Anolis sagrei: one gene and its partners. The protein of the gene in region 4 interacts with the protein of the main gene of each other region in a pairwise test. Links are inferred from orthologs where the notes say so. Each region holds a gene or a part of one and is shown on either strand. Other genes may lie near its edges.

The links.
Region 1: the proteins of TRIM23 (region 4) and NEK6 interact in binary tests that used the Homo sapiens proteins (3 or more experiments, as listed by UniProt). The link is inferred for Anolis sagrei from reciprocal best matches to the Homo sapiens genes TRIM23 and NEK6.
Region 2: the proteins of TRIM23 (region 4) and SORBS3 interact in binary tests that used the Homo sapiens proteins (3 or more experiments, as listed by UniProt). The two-hybrid records come from large-scale screens. The link is inferred for Anolis sagrei from reciprocal best matches to the Homo sapiens genes TRIM23 and SORBS3.
Region 3: the proteins of TRIM23 (region 4) and TRIM29 interact in binary tests that used the Homo sapiens proteins (3 or more experiments, as listed by UniProt). The link is inferred for Anolis sagrei from reciprocal best matches to the Homo sapiens genes TRIM23 and TRIM29.

The regions. Positions count from the first base shown.
Region 1 is NC_090031.1:625,957-633,085, reverse strand, and holds the start of NEK6 (serine/threonine-protein kinase Nek6), read left to right. Parts: upstream 1-4,111; 5' UTR 4,112-4,236; intron 4,237-4,508; exon of another isoform or gene 4,509-4,530; intron 4,531-7,129. UniProt on the Homo sapiens protein: Protein kinase which plays an important role in mitotic cell cycle progression. Required for chromosome segregation at metaphase-anaphase transition, robust mitotic spindle formation and cytokinesis.
Region 2 is NC_090027.1:1,016,643-1,023,974, reverse strand, and holds the start of SORBS3 (vinexin), read left to right. Parts: upstream 1-4,318; 5' UTR 4,319-4,401; coding exon 4,402-4,575; intron 4,576-7,332. UniProt on the Homo sapiens protein: Vinexin alpha isoform promotes up-regulation of actin stress fiber formation. Vinexin beta isoform plays a role in cell spreading and enhances the activation of JNK/SAPK in response to EGF stimulation by using its third SH3 domain.
Region 3 is NC_090027.1:37,820,056-37,827,883, forward strand, and holds the start of TRIM29 (tripartite motif-containing protein 29), read left to right. Parts: upstream 1-4,811; 5' UTR 4,812-5,069; coding exon 5,070-5,903; intron 5,904-7,828.
Region 4 is NC_090022.1:268,041,616-268,049,105, forward strand, and holds the start of TRIM23 (E3 ubiquitin-protein ligase TRIM23), read left to right. Parts: upstream 1-4,468; 5' UTR 4,469-4,511; coding exon 4,512-4,643; intron 4,644-6,214; coding exon 6,215-6,377; intron 6,378-7,490. Other genes in the region: TRAPPC13 (trafficking protein particle complex subunit 13), read right to left, coding at 4,048-4,093.

The DNA of each region.
Region 1 (7,129 bases), on a different chromosome or scaffold from region 4:
GATACTAGAGACAAAGCGGAAGTCCTTTGAATGCCACATCATGAGGAGACAGCAAAGCCTAGAGAAGACAATGATGCTGGGGAAAGTGGAAGGCAAAAGGAAGAGGGGCCGACCAAGGGCAAGACGGATGGATGGCATCCTTGAAGTGACTGGACTGACCTTGAGGGAGCTGGGGGTGGTGACGGCCGACAGGGAGCTCTGGCGTGGGCTGGTCCATGAGGTCACAAAGAGTCGGAGACGACTGAACAAATGAACAACAACAACAATGCCTCTGATCAATGTACTGGTATGCTTGCATGTGAATGATCACTGCAATGGCATCCGCTTCAGCTGAATCGCTCATTAAACCTCGATGCCTCTTCTTCGCCTTGGCAAGAGTCTCATTTCAATTATTAATATCAATAAAATTACTGGAATTAGGCTTCTCTGACGGCTTGCCAAGTACAAGGGACTCTCTTTGGTGCGGTCCTAGAGGTCTCTCTTACTGGGGAGACCCTCCTAAAGTCCGTATTGACTTCATAAGGTTTCACTGGGTAGTTGTAGGTTTTCTGGGCTGCCTTTCCATGTTTTGGAAACATTCTCTCCTGACGTTTCTCCCACATCTATGGCAGGCATCCTCAGAGGTTGAGGGGTTTGTCAGAAAATGGTCAAGTTGGACTTATATACCTTTGGAATGATGTCCAGGGTGGGAGAAAGGACTCTTGTCTGTTGGAGGCACGTTTGAATGGTGCAGCTGGTCACCTTGATAATAATAATAATAATAATAATAATAATAATAATAATAATATTTTTTGGTCATGTCAGGAGCAACTTGAGAAACTGCAAGTCGCTCCCGTTGTGAGAGAATTGACTGTCTGCAAGGATGTTGCCCAGGGGACATTGCCTGGATGATTTGGTGTTTTTATCATCCTTGTGGGAGGCTTCTCTCATGTCCCCTTTGCATGAGGAGCTGGAGCTAATAGAGGGAGCTCATCCACCTCTCCCTGGATTCAAACCTGCGACCTGTCACTCTTCAGTCCTGCCGGCACAGGGGTTTTATAATAATAATAATAATAATAATAATCTTTATTTATACCTCGCCATCATCTCCCCAATGGGGACTCGGGGCAGCTAACATGAGGCCAAGCCCAAAAATGCAATACAACACAATAAAATACAGAATACAGAAAGAAAATTACATCGGAAGATAATTACAATTGTTGTTGTTGTTCATTCGTTCAGTCGTCTCCGACTCTTCGTGACCTCGTGGACCAGCCCACGCCAGAGCTCCCTGTTGGCCGTCACCACCCCCAGCTCCTTCAAGGTCAGTCCAGTCACTTCAAGGATGCCATCCATCCATCTTGCCCTTGGTCGGCCCCTCTTCCTTTTGCCTTCCACTTTCCCCAGCATAATTGTCTTCTCTAGGCTTTCCTGTCTCCTCATGAGGTGGCCTTCAAAGGACTTCCGCTTTCCCTCTAGTCTCCTTCCCTCCAATGAGCAGCCGGGCTTTCTTTCCTGGAGGATGGACTGGTTGGATCTTCTCGCAGTCCAAGGCACTCTCGGAACTTTCCTCCAACACCACAGCTCAAAAGCATCTCTCTTCCTTGGCTCAGCCTTCCCTAAGGTCCAGCTCTCACATCCGTAGGTGACTACTACAGGGAAGACCATGGCTTTGACTAGGCAATGGATCTTGGTTGCCAGTCTGATGTCTCTGCTCTTGACTATTTTATCGAGATTGGACATTGCTCTCCTCCCAAGAAGGAAGCGTCTTCTGATGTCCTGGCCACAGTCTGCGTCTGCACTCATCTTTGCGCCTAGAAATACAAACCCTGTCACGGCCTCCACGTTTTCTCCCTCTATTTCCCAGTTGTCAATCATTCTTGTTGCCATCATCTTGGTTTTTTTGACGTTTAGCTGCAACCCGGCTTTTGCGCTTTCTTCTTTCCCCTTGATGAGAAGGCTCCTCAGCTCCTCCTCGCTTTCGGCCATCAGAGTGGTGTCATCTGCATATCTGAGGTTGTTCATGTTTCTTCCAGCCATTTTCACCCCAGCTTTGCATTCATCCAGCCCCGCACATCCTCGCATGATGTGTTCTGCATACACGTTAAAAAGGTTGGGTGAGAGGATGCAGCCTTGCCGGACGCCTTTCCCAATCTGGAACCCGTCTCCTGTTCCGTGGTCAGTTCTGACTGCGGCTCCTTGGTCCTTGGACAGATTCCTCAGGAGAGAGGGAAGGGGGCTTGGGATGCCCATCCCACCAAGAACTTGCCACCATTTATGATGATCATTCACACAGTCCAAGGCTTTAGAAGAGTCAATGAAGCAGAAATAGATGTTTTTCTGAAACTCCCTGCCTTCCTCCATTCTCTAGCATCCGGATATTGGCACTCTGGTCTCTGGTTCCTCTGCCTTTTCTAAACCCAGCTTGAACATCTGGCCACTCTCTCGCTCCATGTCTGGCTGGAGTCTTCCTTGCAGGATCTTGAGCATTCCCTTCCTGGCATGATGAGAAATAAGGATCACCGCCTTGTTGTGGCGCTGGAGCTTGAGCACCTCAATGATGTCATGAGCGAAACCGTGAAGGGCCACCCAAGACGGGACGGTCGTGGCAGAGAGGTCAGACCAAGCGTGATCCCTGCGGAAGGCAATGGCAAACCACCCCAGTATCCTTGCCAGGAAAACTAAATGGACCAGATTACAACAGCAAAGTAAAATAATAAAGCAAATTCACACAAAATAAAATCGAACAAGATGGGCAGGCCAAATGGACAAGGTGAAATAATAAAATAATAATAATAAAAAAATTAGCATTGAATGCCCTTGCAGCTTCAAAGCCTGGGTGCTTCCTGCCCTTCTGGGCATCTTGCCTAGTTTCCAACAGACCCATTAATAAGCCACGCCCACTCCCGAAGCCACGCCCCACACCCTCCCCTCATTTCTCCAATCCGGCTCCGCCTTCCTATCCTCACGCGCATGCGCGAGTCAGCCTCTCTTTTAGACGGGAACGGAGAGAAAGGATAAGAAGGGGGCGGGGCCACCAGCGAAGCCACGCCTCCTTAAAATTATACCAAACTGACGCCTTCCTTCCCATGCGCATGCGCGCTCCAGAGAGTGTCTTTTTTGACAGGAACGAATAGAGGTAAAACGAGAAGGGGCGGGGCCACAAGGAGACCACGCCCCCTCTCTCCCCTTCATTTCCCTTTTCTAATCCAGAAGCCTTCCTTCTCAGACGCATGCGCACACGCGTGTGTGTATCAATCTTGGAGGGAAACGAGAAGGGGCGGGGCCACAAAGAAACCACGCCCCCTTTCCCTTCATTTCTCTGACTCCTTCCTTCTCAGACGCATGCGCACACGCGAGAGAGTGTCAGTTTTAGAGGGAAACGAGAAGGGGCGGGGCCACAAAGAAACCACGCCCCCGTCCCTTCATTTCCCTGACTCCTTCCTTCTCAGACGCATGCGCACACGCGAGAGAGTGTCAGTTTTAGAGGGAAACGAGAAGGGGCGGGGCCACAAAGAAACCACGCCCCCTTTCCCTTCATTTCCCTGACTCCTTCCTTCTCAGACGCATGCGCACACGCGAGAGAATGTGTGTTACTCTTGGAGGGAAACGAGAAGGGGCGGGGCCACAAGGAGACCACGCCCCCTTTCTCCCCTTCATTTCCTTTTTCTAATCCAGACTCCCTCTTTCTCAGACGCATGCGCACACGCGAGAGAATGTGTGTTACTCTTGGAGGGAAACGAGAAGGGGCGGGACCACAAGGAAACCACGCCCCATTTCCCTTCATTTCCCTGACTCCTTCTTTCTCAGACGCATGCGCACATGCGAGAGAGAGAATGTGTGTCAGTCTTGGAGGGAAACGAGAAGGGGCGGGGCCACGACGAAGCCGTCTTTTTCCTCTCACGCATGCGCGATAGAGAGAGAGAAACGCTTGAGTTCTGAGACAGGAGCGGAAAGTAGGGGGCGGGGCTAGCAAGGAGCGGCCTGCGTGGCAAGCTTCTTAGCGAGGGTCGGGAGCGCGCACGCACGGCGCACGCACGCCTTCTCCTCTCTCTCTCTCGCGAGCGCGCACGCTCCCTGTGAGAAGAGAGTTTGGAGTGCTGCTGGCTCTTGCCCGGAAGGGGGCGGGGGCGCGCGGCGGCGGGGGCGTGCCTCGGGGGCGCGCCTGGGCCTGGAGTTTCCCCCTCAGAGACAGAGAGTGGAAGGGAGCGCGCCTGGGCCTCTCTCTCTCTCTCTCAGCCAGGCCTCTCCGGGCAGGTAAGGCAGGCCTGGCCTCTTAGGCCTCGGCTTCTTTCTTCACCTCAACTCCCTCCCTCCCTTGAGTTCCCCTCACTCCAAAGCCCCCCCTCCCCTTTAAACCCTCGCTGTCAATCATTCCCCCCTCTGAGGGGGGCGGGTCTTCCTCCTTCCCTCCCTCCCCCAAGGACACCCCCGCCCTCAGGAATGCCAATGGAGGGGGATTGTTTACTTCTTTGGGTCTCCCTTTGGGCCCCCTCCACACACCTGTATCCCTTCCACATGGAACTGGGTTACACGCCAGTCTGGACTCAGGTAACTCAGTTCAAAGCAGGCCTCCTGCTACCCCTCTATTCTGCTTTGGTTAGACCACTTTACCTGGAATATTGTGTCCAATTCTGGGCACCACAATTCAAGAGAGATCTTGACTCTAAGCTGGAATGTGTCCAGAGGAGGAGGCAGACTCAAATGATCCAGGGTCTGGAGAACAAGCCCTATGAGGAGCGGCTTAGGGAACTGGGCATGTTTAGCCTGAAGAAGAGAAGGCTGAGAGGAGACATGATGAGGGCCATGTATAAATGTGTGAGAGGAAGCCACAGGGAGGAGGAGGGAGCAAGCTTGTTTTCTGCTTCCTTGGAGACTAGGACGCAATGGGACAATGGCTTCAAACTACAAGAGAGGAGATTCCATCTGAACATGAGGAAGAACTTCCTGGCTGTGAGAGCCGTTCAGCAGTGGAACTCTCTGCCCCGGAGGGAGTGTGGTGGAAGCTCCTTCTTTGGAAGCTTTTAAGCAGAGGCTGGATGGCCATCTGTCAGGGGTGCTTTGAATGCAATATTCCTGCTTTTTGGCAGAATGGGGTTGGACTGGATGAGGGCCCAGGAGGTCTCTTCCAACTCTTTGATTCTATGATTCTGGGTTGCATGGCTGTGTTGAAGGGCCCTGAGTCAGGAATGCCAATGGATGTTGATTGTTTACTCCTTTGGGGCGCCCTGGGTCTCCCTTTGGGCCCCCTCCACACAGCTGTATCCCATCCACATTACAGTTACAATGGAACAGCCACCTGACACAGGGATGCAGTCGTTATATCCAATGGCTGAATCCATGACATTGTTAATCTCTCCAACGTCAGAATGGGAACTGATCAAATCTGGCATGGTGTCATTTCCAGGTGAGTTATGTAAAACTGGGTTAAATGCCAGTCTGGACTCAGGTAACTCTTCCCCTTTCGCCAATCCTTGATTTCCCGGTTTACATGCCTGTGATGAAGGGCCCTGAGTCTACACACATGTATAACCCAGTTCAAAGCAGGCATTGTGGACATTGTGCCTTGATTTCCAGAGTTAGATGCTTGTGATGAAGGTCCCCGAGTCTACACACATGTATAATCCAGTTCAAAGCAGGCATTGTGGACGATCTACCTTGATTTCCAGGGTTAGATGCCTATGATGAAGGCCCCTGAGTCTACACACATGTATAATCCAGTTCAAAGCAGGCATTGTGGACATTGTGCCTTGATTTTCAGGGTTACATAATACAATATTATAATTATAGGTTTTATATTACATGTAATATTACTAATATTGTAGCAATATAATGGTATAGTACAATATAGTAATATATAATACTTATATTGTACTATGCTATATATATATATAGTAAGCCACTCTGAGTCCCCTTCGGGGTGAGAAGGGTGGCATATAAATGCCGTAAATAATAATAATAATAATAATAATAATAATGTGGCTTGGCCGAGCCCAAATACAACAATAAAAACAGCAGCAGCAACAACAACACAATAACTCAAAAAAACAAAAAAACAAAGCAATAACATTAACAACATCTAATGACGCAATTAAAAACAATGGCCGGGCCAAATGTAATAATTCAAATTAAAAAGTGCTGAGCATGGCAAGGTGGGGTGTTTGGAGGGGGATGGGCATATAAATGAATACATGGCTGTGAGAAGGTCCCTCAGTCTACATGGACATATAATCCAGTTCAAAGCAGATCTTGTGGATTTTATATAGCTGTGTGTAATGGGCCTAGTTGTCTAGTTGCCCCTTCTATGCTGCCATATAACCCAGAATATCAAAGCAAACAAAGCACATGATCTGCTTTGAACTGTGTTATACGGCAGCGTAGACTCAGGGCCCTTCCACGCTGCCATATAACAAAGATTATCAAAGCAGATAATCCACATGCTTTGCTTTGAACTGGGTTATATGGCAGTGTATATGAAAAGATGTTCTAAAGAACAGGGAGTCAGGTTGGTGTTCTGCTGCCCTCTCCAACATTAGTACCAAAAAGGTTACGAATCAGTTTTTGGTCAACTTTAGATTTGGTTTGGTTATTTGGGGTGCTGATTCAGAAAATTGCATTGGATAGACCACATCAGCTCCAGTTTCTAATACAGAACACATGCCATCCAGTAGTCGCCATCTGCTCGGCCAGAGAAAACCAGGGACCACTCTCCAACATAAGTACCAAAAGGGTTATGAATCGGTTTTTGGTCAATGTAAGATTGGGTTTGGTTATTTGGGGTGCTGGTTTTGAAAATTGCCTGTGATAGACCACATCGGCTCTAGTTTCTGATACAGAACATATGCCATCCCGTAGTCTGCTCTTCCACAGGGACCACTCTCCAGCATTAGTACCAAAAAGCTTACGAATCAGTTTTTGGTCAACTTTAGATTAGGTTTGGTTATTTGGGGTGCTGATTCAGAAAACTGCATTGGGTAGACCACATCAGCTCAAGTTTCTGCTACAGGACATATGCCACCCAGTAGTCGCCATCTGCTCGCCCACAGAATACCATATTTAATAAACTTCGGCACTATAAGAGGGCTTTGCAAGACCAGACGCTCTCGTTTCTCCCTTTCGCCTTCCGTTAGTTCCTCTTTGAATTCTGCAG
Region 2 (7,332 bases), on a different chromosome or scaffold from region 4:
TGCCTCCGGTCACAAACGGCAGGGCTTGGATCCATTTCTGGGCTTCCCATCAGGCCCTTGTCTGGCAGCCAAATGGAGGCATTGCCGTCTCTGATTCCCATGGAAGGAATGATGCGGCCTCAGGAGCACCCCTCTCCAAGGGATGATTAGATAACATGCGCAAAACAGGGGTGTGGCGGCACATTGGGAGCCATGCAGGAAATACGCAGAGAGAATAGAGCTCTGGACACGTCCAGTTCCACATGTTCCCAGCAAAAAGCTTCGGAAATCAAATGGTGGGGAATGAACTTAAACAGGGAAAATCTATCCCTTTTTTTTTTGTCCAAACTGACCTCTAGATCGGAGCTTCCCAAACATTCTTAGGCATGCATCGCAACATGGCGATTCAGTTTTACTTGCAAACCGAGGGTTCAACCAACCCCCTTATATCAGTGTTTCTCAACCATCCTAATACTACAACCCCTTAATATAGTTCCTTAATATGTTGTGGTGACCCAAAAGCATAACATTATTTTTGTTGATACTCCATGACTGCAATTTTGCTCCTGTTATGAATCGTAATGTAAATATGCTGATATGCAGGATGTATTTTCATTCACTGGATCACATTTGGCACAAAGACCCGATATGCCCAATTCTATGATTCTATCCCACAGGTCAAAGGCCACAGGTCCGAACAGGTATCCCCCAGCTTCACCAACTGGGAGTGACTCTCCGGGAAGAAGCGGAGCCACTGCAGTCTACAAAGATAGCCTCCCTCCAATATAGTCAGACTCAAGATGGGGATGTGGCAGGATAAATGGGCCTTTCCATTGCAAAGCTGCCCAAGGGAGCTTCTCACACCAAAAATGATGCCAGGGAGTTAAAGGAGCAAGGCGGAGAAGCAAGCCGTCTTCCCACAGCTGGTGCATTGCCCACAGCAAGGTCACTGCCTGGCCACGTTCCTGTGCCAGCGCAGGGGGTGCATGCCTGTTGTGTCTGGCCTTCCGCTGTGACAATGCAACCCATTTCACATTAATTATTCAGCCCCAAACAAGGCTGTACAGTGTGCTCCGTTGCACAGCTGCATTCCTGCCCGGGCGCATAAGACCGGACGGGGGAGGAGAGGGAGCCAAGGTTTCTGTGTGGGCAACAAACTCATACACTCCTAGAGTTCGAGGAGACCACAAAGTCCGTCCAGTGTGCAACCCTTTCTGCCAGGCAGGAACACACAATCAAAGCAGGCCCAACAGATGGCCATCCAAGCCTACAAAAACTGCACCAGACTCCAAGGTGGAAACTCTGTCAGGAAGTTCTTCTTAATGCAATGTTCCTCATCCTTCCTAATGCCGCGACCCCTTAATACAGTTCCTCACGTTGTGGTGACCCCCAACCAGAACATTCTTCATAAATATGTTTTTGCTGTTGTTATGAATTGTAACGGCGCTCCATGCAGCCATGCCCGCCACATGACCTTGGAGGTGTCTACGGACAACGCTGGCTCTTCGGCTTAGAAATGGAGATGAGCACCACACCCCAGAGTCAGACATGACTGGACTTAATGTCATGGGACAACCTTTACCTACCTATGAATTGTAATGGAGATATCTGATATGCAGGATCAGGCCCGTAGCCAGGATTTTGATTCAGGGGGTGCTGAGTTTGGCCCATTTCTATCATTGGTGGGGTTCACAATGCTCTGTGATTGTAGGTGAACTATAAATCCCAGCAACTACAACTCCCAAATGTCAAGATTCTATTTTCCCAAACCTAAGCAATGTTCACATTTGGGCATATTGAGTATTTGTGCCAACTTTGGTCCAGATCAATCGTTGTTTGAGTCCACAGTGATCTCTGATTGTAGGTGAACTACAACTCCAAAACCAAAGGACTCTGCCCATCAAACCCTTCCAGTATTTTCTCTTGGTCATGGGAGAACTGTGTGCCAAATTTGGTTCAATTCCATCGTTGGTGGGGTTCAGAGTGCTCTTTGATAGTAGGTGAACTATAAATCCCAGCAAACTACAACTCCCAAATGACAAAATCATTTTTTTTAGTGAAGGACATACATTGGGTTGTTAGGTGTCTTGTGTCCAAATTTGGTGTCAATTTACCCAGTGGTTTTTGAGTTCTGTTAATCCCACAAACGAACATTACATTTTAATGTATATACTAGCCGTCCCCTGCCACGCATTGCTGTGGCCCACATGGGGGTTCTGTGTGGGAGGTTTGGCCCAATTCTATCATTGGTGGAGTTCAGAATGCTCTGTGATTGTAGGTGAACTATAAATCCAAGCAACTACAACTCCCAAATGTTAAGATTCTATTCCCCCCAAACTCCACCAGTGTTTACATTTGGGCATATTGAGTATTTGTGTAGAGTTTGGTCCAGATCTCTCATTGTTTGAGTCCACAGTGATGGGAGAACTGTGTGCCAAGTTTGGTTCAATTCCCGCGTTTGTGGGGTTCAATATGCTCTTTGATTGTGGGTGAACTATAAATCCCAGCAACTACAACTCCCATATGACAAAATCCATTTTTTGAGTGATGGTCACTCCTTAGGTTAGTAGGTGTCTTGTATCCAACTTTGGTGTCAATTCGCCCAGTGGTTTTTGAGTTCTGTTAATCCCACAAACGAACATTACATTTTTATTTATAGACTAGCCATCCCCTGCCACGAGTTGCTGTGGCCCAGTCTGTGTATATATGTTTTGGGTGTGTGTATATGTGTGTATAAGGTAAAGGTAAAGGTAGTCCCCTGACATTAAGTCCAGTCATGTCTGACTCTGGGACTCTGGTGCTCATCTCCATTTCTAAGCCGAAGAGCCAGCGCTGTCCGTAGACACCTCCAAGGTCATGTGGCCATTGGCATGACTGCATGGAGCGCCGTTACCTTCCCGCCGGAGCGGTACCTATTGATCTACTCACATTTGCATGTTTTCGAACTGCTAGGTTGGCAGAAGCTAGGGCTGACAGCAGAAGCTCACGCCACTCCCTGGTATCGAACCTGTGACCTTTCGATCAACAAGCTCAGCAGCTCAGTGCTTTAACCCACTGCGCCACCGGGGGCTCCATATGTGTGTATATATTTGTGTATATGTGTGTTTGCGTATATATATGTGTGTGTGTGTGTGTGTATGTGTGTGTGTGTGGTTTTGTGCATGCATTGTAATGTATTTTTTCAGTGTTTTTCTGAGTGATGGTCACTCGTTGGCCTGAGAGGTGCCTTGTGTCCAAATTTGGTGTCAATTCGCCCAGTGGTTTTTGAGTTACGTAAGTCCCACAAACGAACATTACATTTTTATTTATAGACTAGCCGTCCCCTGCCATGAGTTGCTGTGGCCCAGTCTGTGTATATGTGTTTTGGGTGTGTATATATGTGTGTATATATTTGTGTATATGTGTGTTTGCGTGTGTGTGTGTGTGTGTGTGTGTGTGTGTATATATATATATATATATATATATATATATATATATATATATGTGGTTTTGTGCATGCATTGTAATGTATTTTTCAGTGTTTTAGGAGTGATGGTCACTCGTTGGCCTGAGAGGGGTCTTGTGTCCTAATTTGGTGTCAATTCGCCCAGTGGTTTTTGAGTTACGTCAATCCCACAAACGAACATTACATTTTTATTTATAGACTAGCCGTCCCCTGCCACGAGTTGCTGTGGCCCAGTCTGTGTATATGTGTTTTGGGTGTGTATATATGTGTGTATATATTTGTGTATATGTGTGTTTGCGTGTGTGTGTGTATATATATATATATATATATATATATATATATATATATATATGGTTTTATGCATGCATTGTAATGTATTTTTTCAGTGTTTTTCTGAGTGATGGTCACTCGTTGGCCTGAGAGGTGCCTTGTGTCCTAATTTGGTGTCAATTCGCCCGGTGGTTTTTGAGTTACGTCAATCCCACAAACGAACCTTACATTTTTAGGTTCTTGTGGGTTTTTTCGGGCTATAGAGCCATGTTCTAGAGGCATTTCTCCTGACGTTTCGCCTGCATCTATGGCAAGCATCCTCAGAGGTAGTCAGGTCTCTGAGGATGCTTGCCATAGATGCAGGCGAAACGTCAGGAGAAAAATTGCCTCCAGAACATGGCTCTATAGCCCGAAAAAACCCACAAGAACCTAGTGATTCCAGCCATGAAAGCCTTCGACAAGACATTAAATGTTTATTTATAGATATGGAGTTACACTTAGAAAATGTACCTGTTCCGACTTACATACAAATTCACCCGAGGAACAAACCTACAGAACCTATCTTGTTCATAACTTGGGGACTGTATTAAAGCCACCCTCTCCTTTTGTTACCCACCCAGGGCATCTCGTCTAGTGAGCGTCATCCTCGTCTTGGTCCTGGAGGCCCTCTCTCCTCCTCCTCCTCCTCCTCCTCCATCGCAGCAGAGATGCCCAGCCTCATCTCTAGGGCCGGGGCCCCCGAGGCCAACCTGGGACTCAGCCTGGACGACTTCATCCCTTCGCACCTCCAGAGGAGCTCCCCGTTTGCCCACAGCTCCAGCCTGATATCTCCTCAGGCCACATCTACTCCGCAAGGCAGTCAAGTCCCTTCGCGACGCAGGGTGAGTTTTGGGGAACTTGCCACACAAACATTTCAGAGAAACAGAGTCGTTTGTTTCCCAAGGGTTCGTCTACACTGCAAAAGTAATGCAGTTTGAACCCACTTAAACATGTTATGGAATCCTGGGGGTTGTGCTGGTGCTTCACCAAACTACAACTCCCAGGATCCCACAGCATTGACTGTGTAGACATGGGCAAACTTGGGCCCTCCAGGTGTTTTGGACTTCAACTCCCACAATTCCTAACTTACTTACTTAGGCGATCCCTTATAGTCCGAGGATGATGGTCCTCCAAGGTAGGTGTTCTGGTTGTGGGCCCATAGGTGACTGTGGAGCCCAATTCTTGATCTGCATCTTCTCCCACAGTGAGGGCATTGGTTTCCAGATGGAAGGCCAGTGGTTCTCAACCTGGGGTCCCCAGATGTTTTTGGCCTACAACTCCCAGAAATCCTAACAGCTGGTAAACTAGCTGGGATTTCTGGGAGTTGTAAGCCAAAAACATCTAGGGACCCCAGGTTGAGAACCACTGCGGTAGGCGGTCCTGGTCAGGGTTGGTTTGATACGCCTTCCTCTTGGCATGTTTCTCTCTTTCACCCTCCATTCGTGCCTCTTCAAATTCTGCAGCACTGCTGGTCACAGCTGAACTCCAGCTGGAGTGATCAAGGGGCAAAGATATCCCAGTTCTCAGTGTCTGTGCCAGGGTTTTTAAAGTTGGCTTTGAGCCTATCTTTCAATCTCTTTTCCTGCCCACCAACATCTGTTTTCCGTTCTTGAGTTCAGAGTAGAGCAACGGCTTTGGGAGACGGTGGTGGGGCATCCGGATGATGTGGCCAGTCCAGCAGAGTCGATGGCAGAGGAGCATCACTTCAATGCTGGTGGTCTTTGCTTCTTCCAGCATGCTGATATTGTCCGCTTGTCTTCCCAAGAGATTTGCAGGATTTTCCGGAGGCAGCGCTGATGGAATCGTTCCAGGAGTTGCATGTGACGTCTGTAGACAGTCCATGTTTCGCAGGCATAGAGCAGGGTTGGGAGGGGAATGGCATCTTGGTCTCCCTACAGATGTCCCGGTCCTCAAACACTCTCTGCTTCATTCGGGAAAATGCTGCACTCGCAGAGCTCAGGCGGTGTTGTATTTTGGTGTCGATATTGACTTTGGTGGAGAGGTGGCTGCCAAGGGAGCAGAATGGTCCACATTTTCTAATGTTACACTATTAAGCTGCATTTCTGGCATTGGAGAGGGTTGGCTGGTGACTTTTGCTGGAAGAACACATTGGTTTTCTCGATGTTTAATGACAGGCCGAGCTTCTCATATGCTTCTGCGAAGGTGTTTAGAGTGGCTTGTAGGTCTTCTTCTGAATGCGCACAGACGATGTTGTCATCAGCATACTGGAGTTCTATGTAGTTGTAATTTTAGTTTTTGCTTTCAGTCTGCTGAGATTAAACAGCTTGCCATCTGTCTGATAGATGGATTGTTGTAGGTTTTTTTGGGCTATATGGCCATGTTCTAGAGGCATTCCTCTAGAGAATGCCTCTAGAACATGGCCATATAGTCCAAAAAAACCTACAACCCAGTGATTCTGGCATGAAAGCCTTCAACAATACATTGTCCAATAGATGATTTCCACTCCAGTGGGAAGCTTCCCATCAACAAGATGAAGTATCATAGCGATGAAGATGGAGAATAAGGTTGGGGCAATAACACATCATCCCTGTTTGACACCCGATTCCACCTTAAATGGGTCACTTTGGGAGCCATTGCTGTCCAAGACTGTTGCCATCATGTCATCATGGAGGAGCCGCAGGATTTTCACAAATTTTTTAGGGAACCCAATTTTTTGGAGGCCCAGAGAGCGCTGTTAGGAATTGTGGGAGTTGGAGTCCAAAATACCCAGAGGGCGCATGTTTGCTCATACCTGATGTAGATTGTGCCGTTGCGCCTGGGGGCTCTTATTCTCAATAAAGGAGGGATGGACGTGGCACCTTTCCCCCAGGGGATTGTTTCTTGCCCTCCTATAGGAAACTGGAACTCCCAAAAACCCAAAACGCTGTAAATAGCTCAAAATAAGTTTTATTTATCACAAAGTCATTTCTTTAAAGCAATGAGCTGGAAAACTTTAGAGGGGTGAAGGAAAACATATATTACAGTCTCAATCAGTCCTGGGTCCAAGGGGTTTGAAGCTGAGAAGCCTCTCCAAGTTTCCTCTTTCCTCAATGGCTGTGAATGCTGGGGCAAACCACAACCCCAGTTCAGATGGCCTATGTTTTGAAGATTCGGGATCTTCCTTTGGTGCCAAAAGAACCGACTTGAAGGCGCCTGGGTCTCCTCAATAATTGTCCAGGATGATCTGGACATAAAGCATGAGTCCCAGGGGTAAAAAACCTCAGAACTGATGCTAAGAGGTAACTTAAATCAGGGTCCTTTAGAATCAAGTCTTTTACTCATGTCCATCTGGTACGAACTCTGATGGCAGAATGAAGAAGAAAAAGGAAGTTCTCCCCTCTTGCAGGAAGAGGTGGAGCCAAACAGTACTGATTGACAGCTACAAGCAACCAATCCATACAACTATACATAAGCAGTGTTAAAAAGGGGCAGGATTAAGCATGATACAACAGTTTAAGTCTTACAACTAACAGTTCTATACATAGGTGGTGCCACTCGCACCGTCACAAGATGCATTCATAGTCTGCAATCCATACTCGCCAATCTGCGACAAAAATTGCAATGTTTTGTGCTGTGTCCCATTGTGAGCAACCAGCCAT
Region 3 (7,828 bases), on a different chromosome or scaffold from region 4:
GAACAAAATCTGGCTACCAGTATTGAAAAACTCTAAAATAAAAACAGTAAATAAAGAACAACACACTAAAAACAGAGGAAATCCAGAAAAGAAGCGATGAGGGCTAGCTAACACCTCCCAACAAGGATGCTTTGAGGCAGGAAACAGCCAGGCTTTGAAGCTGCAAGACCATTCAATGCTAATGAAGGTGGCCAATTGCAACATTCACACTTGCCTCCAACAGACAAGAGTTCTTTCTCCACCCTGGTCATTCCATAGATATACCAACCTCACTTGCGTAGTTTCCAATAGATCTCACAACCTCTGAGGATGCCTGCTATAGATGTGGGTGAAACGTCAGGATAGAATGTTTCTGGAACATGGTCATACAGCCCAGAAGACTCACAGCAACCCAAACCAAAGAATGCTGGTATCTCACCAAGATGGAAGCCCAAGTTTGTGAAACACTGGATCCAATCAGATATCTTGGGATGAACATGGCAATGTAGTATATTTTTACACCAGTTGAGTTATGCTATGTGGGGTGTTTACACTGTTGACATAATGCAGTATGCAATCACCTTAACTGCCATGGCTCAATGCTATGGAATCTTGGGAGTTGTAGCTCGGTGAGGCATTTGCCCTCTTTGGCGAGGAGGCCAAAGACCTTATAAAACTACATAGCATAGCAATTCAAGGCATAGCCATTCAAGAGGTACAAAACTGCATGAATATCATTTATGGACTACTCTAGAATACACCAGTTTACAAGTTTGTAGAACTGGTAGGCAAATTATGTCATGCCAATGCACACTGCAATTTGCACATGAGAGTTAAAGGAAGTATTGAATAGGAACAACTCTGCAGTGTAGACACTTTCAAAGCACACTGATTCCAGCCAACTTTTCCTATACCTTGTTAGAAGCTTGTTTATCCAAAGTACCCTTCGGCTTGAAAAAGCTTGGTTTCCCAGCGGAACAGCTTAAATTCCCCTAGACTACCAACCTAGATATAAATGTGTTCTTTCTCAGTGTGCAGTTGCTGATTACCAGCTGCTTTTTCAATCCTCAAGTGTTAATCTGGATTTGAAAGGGGTTTAAAAAAAAAAAAAAGCACCCTGCATATTTGTCTCAGTATATCTGAGAACACGAATCTCCACCCTAGAACATTCTTGAATTGTCTGGAGTCAGTTTCCCCACGGCTATTGCCTTAAGAGATCATTTCAGCCCAAGAAAGGCAGAGCAAGGAAGGAAGAGGAGGAACTTCCCCTGATATATATGATCTTCAAAAACATTTGTCTGGCACTTCTGAAAAAGGAGGTGGAAAAAAGATATCACGTGTCCCAACAATGGATGTCCCCATGTCTCAAATGAATAGAGTTTTTGATATTTAGCTGCCATGGTTCAATGGTATTATTATTATTGTTGTTGTTGAAAGCTTTCATGGCCGGAATCACTGGGTTGTTGTAGGTTTTTTCGGGCTATATGGCCATGTTCTAGAGGCATTCTCTCATGACATTTCACCTGCATCTATGGCAAGCATCCTCACAGGTAGTGAGGTCTGTTGGAACTAGGAAAATGGTGCCCCCGGTGGTGCAGTGGTTTAAAGCCCTGTGCTGGCAGGACTGAAGACCGACAGGTCGCAGGTTCGAATCCCGGGAGAGGCGGATGAGCTCCCTCTATCGGCTCCAGCTCCTCATGCGGGGACAAGAGAGAAGCCTCCCACAAGGATGACAAAACATCAGAAATCATCCGGGCGTCCCCTGGGCAACGTCCTTGCAGATGGCCAATTCTCTCACAACAGGAGTAGTTGCTCCTGACACGACCAAAAAAAAAAAAAAAACTAGGAAAATGGATTTATATATCTGTGGAATGACCAGGGTGGGACAAAGAACTCCTTTCTGTTGGAGCTAGGTGTGAATGTTTCAACTGACCACCTTGATTAGCATTTGATGGCCTGGTTGTTTGGTGTGGCTTGTTAGTGCCTGGGGGAATCTTTTGTTGAAAGGTGATTAGATGTCCCTGATTGTTTCCTCTCTGTTGTTTTGCTGTAGTAATTTTAGAGTTTTTAAAAATACTGTTAGCCTGATTTTATTCATTTTCATGGTCTCTTCCTTTCTGTTGAAATTGTCCACATGCTTGTGGATTTCGGTGGCTTCTCTGTGTAGTCTGACATGGTGGTTGTGAGAGTGGTCCAGCATTTCTGTGTTCTCAAATAATCTGCTGTGTCCAGGTTGGTTCATCAGGTGTTCTTCTATGGCTGACTTCTCTGGTTGAAGTAGTCTGCAGTGCCTTTCATGTTCCTTGATTCGTGTTTGGGCCATTCTGCTGCGTTTGGAGGTCCCTATGTAGACTTGTCCACAGCTGCATTGTATACAGTAGACTCCTGCAGAGGTGAGAGGATCCCTCTTGTCCTTTGCTGAACGTAGCATTTGTTGGATTTCCTTGGTGGGTCTGTAGATAGTTTGTATGTTGTGTTTCCTCATCAGCTTCCCTCTGCGGTCAGTGGTTCCCTTGATGTATGGCAAGAATGCTTTTCCTCTGGGTGGATCTTTGTCTTTACTCTCGTGGCTTGTTCTCAGTCTTATTATTGTTTGAAACACAACAAGATGAGTCCAGAGCAGACACTCTGCTGGCTGTTGTATGGGATCACACGTTGGACACTTCCCAAGTGTACTAGGACTGTGTGATGGATCGGCGAATAATGCGTGCAGATCCCAGTAAGCTGGCTTTTTGCAGCTGGCAAATGGTAATTTTGTCAGCGCCAATTGTGTTTAAGTGCAGGCCAAGGTCTTTAGGCACTGCACCCAGTGTGCCGATCACCACTGCGACCACCTTTACTGGCTTGTGCCACTGCCTTTGCAGTTCGATCTTTAAATCCTCATATTGTGTCAGCTTTTTCAGGAGTATTGTGCTTCAAAACTCTGTCTGACTGAATCTGGAATTATTATTATTATTATTATTATTATTATTATTATTATTATTACCCTGCTTTATGTCTCCCAAATGAGACTCAAAGCAACTTGACATAAAAATTGGGTTGTAGGGTTGCTGTGAGTTTTTGTGGCTATGTTCCAGAAGCATTCTCTCCTGACATTTCGCCCATATCTATGGAAGGCATCCTCAGAGGTTGTGAGGTTGGAAATAGGCAAATGAAGCTTATATCTGTGGAATGATGTCCAAGGTGGGAGAAAGAACTCTTGTCTGCTTGAGGTAGGTTGCAATTGGGCACCTTGGATTAGCATGGAATAGCCGTGCAGCTTCAAATACAGCATCGGCCAAACATGAATCAAGGAACATGTAAGGCACTGCAGACTACTTCAGCCAGAGAAGTCAGCCATAGCAGAGCACCTGACGAACTAGCCTGGACACTGCATATTATTTGAGAACACAGAAATGCTGGACCACTCCATGTCAGATTACATAGAGAAGCCATTGAAAACCACAAGAAGCATGTGGACAATCTCAACAGAAAGAAGGAAACCATGAAAATGAACAAAATCTGGCTACCGGTATTTTAAAAACTCTAAAAACAGGACAATAAATAAAGAACAACACTCTGAAAACAGGAAATCCAGAAAGGAAAAATCAGGTTCAGTTAACACCTCCCAACAAAGGATTCCCTCCAGACAGGAAGCAGCCTGGTTTTGAAGCTACAAGATCATTCAGTGCTAATCAAGGTGGCCAATTGCGACATTCACACCTGTCTCAAGCAGACAAGAGTTTTTTCTTCCACCCTGGACATCATTCAACAGATATATAAACCTCACTTGCTCAGTTTCCAACAGACCTCACAACCTCTGAGGATGCCTGCCATAGATGTGGGTGAAACATCAGGAGAGAATGCATCTGGAACATGGCCATACAGCTCGGCAAACTTACAGCAACCGATTCATTCCGCTCATGAAAGCCTTCAAAAACACAAATTGAGTTGTAGTTTTATGAGTTCTTTAACCTACTTTGCCAAAGAGGATTGGTGCCTCACCAAACTACATCTCTTAGTTAAAAGTGATATCAAGCTTCATTAATTCTACAGTGTAGACGCACCCAGAGAAAGAGAGATCTACAGCCAATAGCAAGAAATGCATAGGATGGATATCTGCTTTTTGCTAATGGGTTGTCAAAGCGGTGCCCCTGTAACCAGAAAAATATTTTCTCTGACATGTGTGGAGGCATCTCTGCTATTAGTAGCACAATCCTTTTCTCATTCTCTCGCCACATCTTCTAATGTAAAGTGTGCAGATGTTGTTGCTTTTCTTACTCCCATCAGACAAATGAGACTTGCACTAAGGCATAGGAGTGCAAAGGACCATGCCTGAGATGGCGCTCAAAAAGCTGAAATGCTCAACTGCCCATATGTTCTGTTCCGACCCCGCGTAGAGAACCCAGATGGCCATAGAGCAGATTTTCACTTCTTGGAGGTCTGGAATTGGCATGCTCTTCCCTAGCGTTTTGTGTGAGGTGGCCAGCTGCCAATCCTAGGCTTCCACTTGCATTACAAGCCTGATGCTTCATGTGGACATACGCCAAAGGGAACCATCTAACAAAATTGCCTTCGACTCGACATCAACTGGACAACCCAGGCCTCCGAAAAGATTGCTCCACGCCTGCTGTCAATGGGGATCCCTTTTCAAAAACAGGTGGCTGAACTGGTTTCCGTGGCCTCTTTGTGCACGTTATTTTATTTTATTTTTGAAACAAATAAATAAATAAGTGGAAACGACACGTAAACAGATCTTCATTCCCCAACCTGGTCGGACAGGAATCTTCTTGGGTGTGTCAGCCTTATATAATTAGCTATGTAGCTGGATCTCTCTGATGTCTTTTGTAACATCTCTCGTTGGCTGGCTCTACCCAGCATAATTCAGGTGTTCGTTTTCTCCTCCCCGTTCTTCCAGGTGTGGCATTTTGGTAGTGCTTTCGCTGTCATTCCTCCTCCACTCCTTGCTGGGACAGGAGCTTGAAAAGGTTTGCCTATTTTTGTGACAAGAGCAGGTGAGGCTGAACTTTGACTATTTCCTAACAGGGACCCAAACTTGCAGGCCAGAAAGAAAGAGACAAAGCCCAGAAAGATAGAAGAAAGCCTACGGCATGGAGACGGCAAGGACAAATGGGACCACCGGGAAGCCAGAGGAAGGGAAGAATGTAACCTCTCCTAAGAAGGAGGGAGACGAAGGGAAGAAACCCACCAGCCCAAATCGAGGGGAGAAGGACACCAACAAAAGCAATGCCTCAGTGGAAACAGGCCAACTGAAAAATTCTATTTATGCTGGGGGTGACTGGAAGAGACCAATCATCCAGTTTGTGGAATCATCTGATGAGAAAAGGTCGACCTACTTCAACATGGAGCCCGGGGAGTCCAAGAAGTCCAACTTCCCAAATGTGCAAATTGGAGAACCTCGGAGGCCCCAAGTTTCCTTCCCTGAGAGAGGAGATCTGAGGAAGTCCCTATTCAACATGGAAGCAAAGAAACCCTTTGCTAATGAAGCGGAGGAGAAAAAGTCATTGTATTCAAGTGGGGCGATTTCAGATCTCAGGAAGCCCATCCTCCGAGAATCAGGAGAAGCCAAGAGGAACAACTACAACCGGGCCAGCCGAAGTCCCACTTCCAGGCCCCGTGTTCTGGAAGAGGTCCTCTGTGACTCCTGCATTGACAACAAGCAGAAAGCAGTCAAGTCCTGCCTGGTGTGTCAAGCCAGCTTCTGCGAGCTCCACCTGAAGCCCCACTTGGAAGGGGCGGCTTTCCGGGACCACCAGCTCTTGGATCCCATCAAGGACTTTGAAGCCCGGAAATGCCCCGTCCATGGCAAGACGATGGAGCTCTTCTGCCAGACGGACCAGGTCTGCATCTGTTACCTCTGCATGTTCCAAGAGCACAAGAACCACACCACGGTGACGGTGGAGATTGAGAAATCTGGGAAAGAGGTACGGTCCTATTTTATGTCTTCTTTGTTTACTTGCTGTATAGGTTACCCTTTTCTCCCTACCAGGACCACCGGGTGAGGCATGTTAAGCCAAAGACAAGTGTCCCATTTCTAATACAGCTCAGTATCTCAAATAATGATGGCTGATCTATCTTTCCTTGCTACAGAACCCACAGGTGTTGGTTGGTATGGGCATATCCCTCATTTGATTGCTCAACATATGATGACTTGCAGTATATGTTCAGGTTGTACTTAAAGTTGCATGCTATGTGAGGTAGATAAGAAAATAATATTATTCGAAACACAACAAGATGAGTCCACAGCAAACAAGATCACTCTGCTGGCTGTTGTATTGGATCACACATCGGAAACTTCCCAAGTGTCTAGGATTGTGTGATGTATTGGTGAATAATGTGTACAGATAATTAAAAGACGATTCAGAAGACTACTGCTACCGAAGTGAAGATGATTGGAAGCCGAACCTAAGCCCATTTTCCTAGCCAAACCCACCCTATACCTTCTACCCCTAACCCAACCATACCATTCCTGAGCTTACCCTCCCTCCTTTTTCTTTTAACTTAATCCTGTAATAAGAAAACTTCAATAAAAATATTTTAAAAAATAATCTCAGTAAGGTGGCCTTTTGCAGCTGGCATATGGTAATCTTGTCAGCGCCGATTGTGTTTAAGTGCAGGCCAAGGTCTTTAGGCACTGCACCCAGTATGCCAATCATCACTGGGACCACTGGGACTATCACCACCACCACCAATAATAATAATAATAATAATAATAATAATAATAATATACTAGACGCTTGGGAAGTGTTCGACTTGTGATTTTTTATATGAAATCCAGCATATAGATCTCATTTGCTGTGAGATACTGTGCATTTGTGTCAACAACAACAACAACAACAACAACAACAATAAGGTTTTCCAAAAAAAGGCAAATGTTTTTGTGAGTCCATGGAGCTGACTCATAAATATGTTAACGTTCTTGCTTGATGCCAGTTGAAGAACATGCAACTTGTCCATCTTCACAACCATCTCTTATTTATTTATCTCCTGCTTCCCCAGGATTGTGACCCAATAACTGAACCTTATCATTATCGTCTGCTTTCAAATAATCTCTGATTAACGGTGACCCTGAATAACTAAGATTTATCTCTTGTGTTGACTCTCCAACCAGTAATTGATAATTGGATCTACTCTACAATATTCAATCTGCCGAATCCTTGCTACCAATGTGGGCTTGGGGAGCTTTACTTTGGCATGGAAAAAAGTATTATATTTCAGCATTGTATTGTATGGAAACTGGGAAAGCCGACATCTTTCCTTAAGTGGTACAGGTTTTGTTTTGCTGGGGAAAGGATGAAAGGAAAAGAGAACATGGATCCTGTGCCTTTAACACTTAAGCAGAAGAGAGTTTCAGCTAGCGACTGGTTCAACTTGTCCTGGCACAGGCCTGCAGGCTGAGTAAGGCTGTACGTAGCGGAAGGCACTTTCTCCCTAGAACAGGCAAGAGTCTATTAAAAGAAAAAAAAGTTGGCAAGAAGAAGGAAATATAGATGTCGGGTGCAGATTTGCTCAGAGCCAATGACTTATGTGAGCCTGAAAGACATGGAGACCTGGACTATCTTTGAGAAGAAAGGCTGGATTCATACAGTTGGGAGAGACCTCATGGGCCATCCAGTCCAACCCCATTCTGCCAAGAAGCAGGAAAATTGCCTTCAAAACACCCCTGACAGATGGCCATCCAGCCTCTGTTTCAAAGCCTCCAAAGAAGGAGCCTCCACCACACTCTGGGGCAGAGAGTTCCACTGCTGAACAGCTCTCACAGTCAGGAAGTTCTTTCTGATGTTCAGGTGAATTCTCCTTTCTTGTAGTTTGAAGCCATTGTGTCTGAGTCTCCAGGGCAGCTGAAAAC
Region 4 (7,490 bases):
ATTTGTAATAATTGTAATAATTCCACTAGGTTTGCTTGCTCTTTTTAACACTCAGACAAAACCCTTCAAATGTTTTTTAACCGCTTTACTGATTATAAGAAATTGGAGAAAAATATTCCATTCATGGCTTCTTTGCCTAACAACTCCACCACTGAACCTTCTCAAATTGCTCACTGTACTCATTTTTTACAACCCAGTTGTTTTCAATGAAGTTCAGCTTCTATCTGAAAACAGTTGGCACCAAACATAAAGAATTGTGTTCATGACAGAGGAAGATACCTAACAGACCCTGTGGGAAAGGTGTGTGTAATTACATTTGTAGAGAGGAGCTATTCTTCCAGCACCAGCTGGTTGTGGAGTTATTAAGAAGGGCTACAAATTGCATTGTACAGATTAAGGGAATCCCTGTTTCAGAGGCAATGACATCCAAGTCTCAAGAGGAGTTTGGCCTTTTTTTCCAAGGCATCACAGTGGAAATAAAAATAAGGATTACTCATTTCAATTTTTTCCTTTTAGTTATTTCCAACATGGTAACCCTAAGGCACAGGTTTGCAGCTTGGGAGTTCTCCTGGACTCATAGCTGAGTTTGGATCCCCAGGTTTCGGGGGTAGCGAGGGGAGCATTTGCATAATTAAAACTTGTGTGCCATTTGTCCTCATACCTTGGGAAGTCAGTCTTGGACACGGTAGTCCACACTCTGGTTACATCCCGTATAGACTACTGCAACGCACTCTACTTGGGGTTGTCTTTGAAGACTGTTCAAAAGCTTCAAATGGTCCAACGGGTGGGAGCCAGATTGCTCACTGGAGCAGCGTACAGGGAGCATACAGCCCCTCTGTTATGTCAGCTCCACTGGCTGCCAGTCTGCTACCGAGCACAATTCAAAGTGCTGGCTTTAGCCTATAAAGCTTGAAATGGTTCCGGCCCAGCTTACCTGTTCGAACGTATCTTCCCCTATAAACCACCTCAGAGATTAAGATCGTCTGGGGAGGCCCTGCTCTCGGTTCCAACCCCTTTGCAGGTGTGACTGCTGGGGATGAGAGACAGGGCCTTCTCAGTGGTGGCCCCTTTGGTGTGGAATTCCCTCACCAGGGATATTAGATCAGCCCCCTCCCTCCATAAGACCTTCCATAAGAGAGTGCAAACGTGGCTCTGTGACCAAACCTTTGGAGAACTTGTGCAATAGAGAGATATGGAATGTTGTGCAATGAGTATTGGAACAGCCCAGATTACGCTTGAGGATTACGTTATTGTGAAGGTATTTCCATAAATGCAGGGTAGAAATGTCACAAATAAGCAAATAAATAAGGCAGTGGTTCTCAGCCTGTGGATCCCGAGGTGTTTTGGCCTACAATTCCCAGAAATTCCAGCCAGTTTACCAGCTGATTTTCGGGACCCACAGGTTGAGGGTCACTGCCCTATGGTGACCCAGGGCCCTTCCACACAGCCATATACATTATAATTTCCTCCTACGAACCTGTGCGATCTCTCCGATCTTGGGGGAGGCCCTCCTCTCTCTCCCGCCTCCATCACAGGCACGGCTTGTGGGGACGATGGAGAAGGCCTTCTCTGTGGTTGCCCCCCAGCTCTAGAACTTGCTCCCCAAGGAGATTAGACAGGCACCCACCCTGACAGTCTTTAGAAAAAGTTTAAAAACCTGGCTTTTCCTGTGTGCTTTTGGGGACTGAACTATCAATTTCCATGCCATGTCCTGTTCCAAGTCCAACTTGACTTTCTGATGCTCTTCATCTTATCTCTAAGTTGAAGATTAATTCTACTGTTATCCCGTTTGAGCCCCCTCACAAATTATAGCACTTTCTACCTACCCCACCTATGAGTTTTATCAATTTCTATCCACTTTTAGTCATGAGCCTCGCTCTCTTTTTCTAATTCTATTACCATTTTATCGTGTGTTTTTATTATGATTTTGTTATTTTCATTTTATTATGTTATTATTAAGTATTTTATTTGATGTTATTGTTTTGTTTATATGCATTTTGCTCTATTGTAATTTCATTTGGGCTTGGCCTCATGTTAGCTGCCTCGAGATGGTGGAGGGGTATAAATAAAGTTGATTATTATTATTATTATTATTATTATTTGAAACACAACAAGATGAGTCCACAGCAGACAAGATCTCTCTGCTGGCTGTTGTATTGGATCACATGTCAGACACTTCTAAATGGTGTATTTTAATATCTGATAAATGTTTTTTAATGTTTATGTATTGTATGTGAATTTGTGTCTCAGTATTGAATGTTTTCTGTGTATATGCTGTGCTTCGCCCTGAGTTCCCTTCGGGGTGAGGGCGGAATATAAATGTTTTACATAAATTGTCGAAGGCCTTCATGGCCAGAATCACTGGGTTGTTGTAGGTTTTTTTTCGTGCTATATGGTCATATTCTAGAGGCATTCTCTCCTGACGTTTCACCTGCATCTATGGAGCCCCCGGTGGCGCAGTGGATTAAAGCACTGTGCCGGCAGGACTGAAGACGACAGGTCACAGGTTCGAATCCAGAGAGAGGCAGATGAGCTCCTTCTATTAGCTCCAGCTCCTCATGCGGGGACATGAGAGAAGCCTCCCACAAGGATGATAAAACATCAAAAATCATCCAGGTGTCCCCTGGGCAACATCCTTGCAGACGGCCAATTCTCTCACAACAGGAGCGGTTGCTCCTGACATGACAAAAACAAAACAAAACACCTGCATCTATGGCAAGCATCCTCAGAGGTAGTGAGGTCTGTTGGAAGTAGGAAAATGGGTTTATATATCTGTGGAATATATTTGTTTTATGTGTGTGTGTGTGTGTGTGTATTTCTATATATATATATATATATATATATATATATATATCCCACCCTAGTCTTTCCACAGATATATAAACCCGTCTAGAACAGGGGTCCACAAACTTTTTAAACAGAGGGCCAGGTCACAGTCCCTCAAACAGTTGGAGGGCCGGATTATAATTTGAAAAAAAAACATGAATGAAAATCCAACAAATGCTACGTTCAGCAAAGGACAAGAGGGATCCTCTCACCTCGGCAGGAGTCTACCGTATACCATGCAGCTGTGGACAAGTCTACATAGGGACCACCAAACGCAGCATTGCCCAGACACGAATCATGGAACATGAAAGGCACTGCAGACTACTTCAACCAGAGAAGTCAGCCATAGCAGAGCACCTGATGAACCAGCCTGGACACAGCATATTATTTGAGAACACAGAAATGCTGGACCACTCCAACAACCACCATGTCAGACTACACAGAGAAGCCATTGAAATCCACAAGCATGTGGACAATTTCAACAGAAAGGAGGAGACCATGAAAATGAACAAAATCTGGCTACCAGTATTAAAAAACTCTAAAATTGCAACAGCAAAACAGCAGAGAGGAAACAACCAGGCACATCTTAACACCTCTCAACAGAACATTTTCCCAGGCTCAGCCAGGCCTTCAAATGCTAATGAAGGTGGTCAGCTGAAACATTCACACCTAGCTCCAGCAGAGAAGAGCTCTTTGCCCCACCCCAGTCATTCCACAGATATATAAACCCATTTTCCTACTTCCAACAGACCTCACTACCTCTGAGGATGCTTGCCATAGATGCAGGCGAAACGTCAGGAGAAATGCCTCTAGAACAGTGGTTCTCAACCTGGGGTCCCCAGATGTTTTTGGCCTTCAACTCCCAGAAATCCCGGCTAGTTTACCAGCTGTTAGGATTTCTGGGAGTTGTAGGCCAAAAACATCTGGGGACCCCAGGTTGAGAACCACTGCTCTAGAACATGGCCATATAGCCCGAAAAAACCTACAAGAACCTCATGAATGAATTCCTATGCACACTGCACATATCTTATTTGTAGTGCAAAAACACTTTAAAACAATACAATAATTAAAATCAAGAACAATTATAATAAACATAAGCTTATTAGTATTTCAATGGGAAGCGTGGGCTTGCTTTTGGCTGATGAGATAGGATTGAAGGCCTCGGGCCTCCACTTCAGAGCCTCCATGAAGTGAAGGGAAAGCGAGCCAGGCTGGACATACCTTTCAAGGCCAGGAGATGCTCCTGCTTGGGCTGGGTGACATCCATGGCCTCAGCCTCGCCACTTCGGGGCCTCCTCCTTTAGACGCACAAAATCCCTCCAGCTTCTGCCGGAAGCACTTCCCCTTTTCTCCCGCCTCCACCACACAACGAAATGAACCCTCTCTGCCTTTGGCCCACTCTCTGTTCGCCCTAGCGTTGGGAACTACATCCCCCAGAATGCCCTTCGGGTAGGCGTGCTGAGCTTCCTCCAAGCTGTCAAGGCAAAGCATGATGGTAGCTGTAGTCTTTCGCGACTGGGAAGGAGCATGAAGCGTGACGTCGAAGGAGACATGCGCAGTGCAATAGGAAACCAAATCTTCGGCGGTTCTCATTGGTGTGACGTCAGCGCGCAGACCCTCCCCGCTGTTTCCAGGGAAACTACGCTGTGGGCGGAGAAAGAGCGGGGAGCGAGCGGAGTGGGCGGATGCTGCTGCTGCTCGGGCTTTCTCCTTCCCTTTCCAAGATGGCGGCGCTGAGTGTAAACAAGGTCGGGGCTGGCGCAGGGATAGATGCCGGGAGCAGGCCGGGACGGAGCCCGGGCGGCCCGGTAGTGAAGGTGAGGAGAGCGGGAGAGGCCCGGGAGGCTTTCCTTCGAGGCTCGCCGCCTTTGGGGGTGGGAAAGGCCATGAAACCCTTCGGCTGTAGAGAAGGCCGCAAATATTTCTGCAGTAGGATGTGATCCTTCTGTGGATCGATTATCTGGTCGACTGTGGGTGCATCTACACTTTCATATTAATGCAGTTTTGACACCACTTTAACTGCCATTGCTCAATGCTGTGGGATCCTGGGTGTTGTAGTTTTGCAAGGCCTTGTCTGTCAAAGAGAGTAGGTGCCTCAACAAACTACAAAGCACAGGATTGCTATAGCATCTTTGAGCCCCTCCAGACAGCCATATAACCCAGAATATCAAGAGAGATGATCCCACAATATCTGCTTTGAACTGGGCTGTCAAGAGTCCGCACTGCCATATAACCCAGTTCAAAGCAGATAATGTGGGGTTTTATAAAGCTGTGTGGAAGGGGCCAGAGTCAGCAGCTAAAATGCGGTCAAACTGCATTAATTCTGCAGTGTAATCTATATAAATAAAAATGTAATGTTCGGGTTGTTGTAGGTTTTTTCAGGCTATATGGCCATGGTCTAGAGGCATTCTCTCCTGACGTTTCGCCTGCATCTGTGGCAAGCATCCTCAGAAGTAGTGAGGTCTGTTGGAACTAGGAAAAAAACAGACCTCACTACCTCTGAGGATGCTTGCCATAGATGCAGGCGAAACGTCAGGAGAGAATGCCTCTAGACCATGGCCATATAGCCTGAAAAAACCCACAACAACAGTGATTCTGGCATTGAAAGCCTTCGACAATACAATGTAATGTTTGTTTGTGGGATTAACATAACTCAAAAACCACTGGACGAATTGACACCAAATTTAGACACAAGACACCTCTCAGGCCAACGAGTGACCATCACTCAGAAAAACACTGGAAAACACAGTAGAAGGGTCTTAAAAGCCACAAACAAAAAATACATTGCAACACGTGCAAAACCACATATATACCGCAAACACACGTATATACACATATACAAATAGATACACACATATGCACATATATACACACACAAAACACATATACACAGACTGGGCCACAGCAACACATGGCAGGGGACGGCTAGTAATAATAATAAACTTTATTTATACCCTGCCACATTATGTTGACTTTTGTATTGGTTGAAATTAAACATAGTCAGTTAATGAAACCTCTGTGAGTGAGGCTCCTGTATAGAAATTATTTTTATTCTGCCTTGAATTTCATGATGGCAGAAAGGCAGAATCTAAATAAAGTAAATGTCCACCCAGGCCCTCTTTTCCTCCATGAATCTGGCATATTTGCAGCAGCACTAGAGGATGGCTGAGGAAACACACTTTAGATACTACGTTACAGCAGTTGATCTACAGTAAAAAAATAAAATCTGTAATAAAACCTGAGCTGAGAAAGAATGGGATTCTGCTTTAGGGTATTCTTTCTCTATTATTTCTACCTCTGGTATCAAACTTTCTGTTAAAGAGGAAATGCCTAGTAACACACCTACTTTGTTAACTGAGGTATGTCTGTACTCCTTTGTAACTTTTAGGTTCTGGAATGTGGAGTCTGTGAAGACGTATTCTCATTACAAGGAGACAAAGTTCCTAGACTGCTTCTGTGTGGCCACACTGTTTGTCATGACTGCCTCACTCGACTTCCTCTCCATGGCAGAGCAGTTCGATGTCCTTTTGATCGGCAGGTTACTGAGCTAGGTAAGATACAGAAATAGTAATAACATTAACATTGAAATAATCATATTGTGGCACCAAAATTCTGAAATTTAGTCAATAAAAGCATAATTATATTTAAGCTTTATTCATATAGCTTTTGTGCGTTGTATTGTTCTAGACAAAGACATATGTAAATTATATTAGAACATTGTAATTGTAATTAAGTTTTTATTTTAGTAGTGCAAGCGTAGCTTTAGAAACAAACCCATATTGGTTGGAAGGTAACTCAAACATTTTGACTGTGCCATTCAAAAATAGTAGCCCTTCTCTGTGCTACAAAAGTTGTGGAAAATTTTACAAATTAGTGAAATGTAACCTTGGAGATTGTCAGAGTTCTATGGCATTGAATTAATTGGCAAATATTCTCAGAATTGGGCTATTTATTTATCATGTCAGGAGCGAACCAAACAGTTGTATTGTATTTAAAAAACACACAGAGAGGATTTGCAAACTCTATTAAATGTCCTTTGACCAGTACCTGGCCACCTGGAGTGCCTCCGGCGCTGCCACAAAAAGGTCCTCCATTGTGCATGCGGCAGGGCTCAGGTCGCACTGTAGTAGGTGGTCTGTGGTTTGCTCCTCTCCACACTTGCATGTTGTGGATTCCACTTTGTAGCCCCATTTCTTAAGGTTGGCTCTGCATCTCAATGTTCAGTGCCTTCCAAGTCACGCAGTTTTCTGTGTGGCAGGGGGAGTCTCTCATTTGCTATCAGCCATTGATTGAGGTTCTGGGTTTGGGCTGGCCTTTGGTAAGTGTGGTTGGATAAGCTTTAAAATTAAACCCAGGATGTAAAAGTTACTGAGTCCAGCAAGGGATTTTTCTCCGTAGTCAGCTTAACTAGACACGAAAGCTTTGTTTCTTTGAGCATGTTCCATAGCTCACTAAGCTATTTCAACTGCATATTTTTAAATAAATTTCTAGCTTTGTAAAGAAAGCACCTATGGTCAAAACATAGCCTGCTGTTCATGATAATGCAATATCACTGGTGGCAGAATTAGATTAGGAGAAATATGATATAAATGAGGTTGTGTTTCTTATGGAAGGGGAGCTTAATCATATTTTCTGTAATGCAGTCTGTGCATTTGGAAGTATAG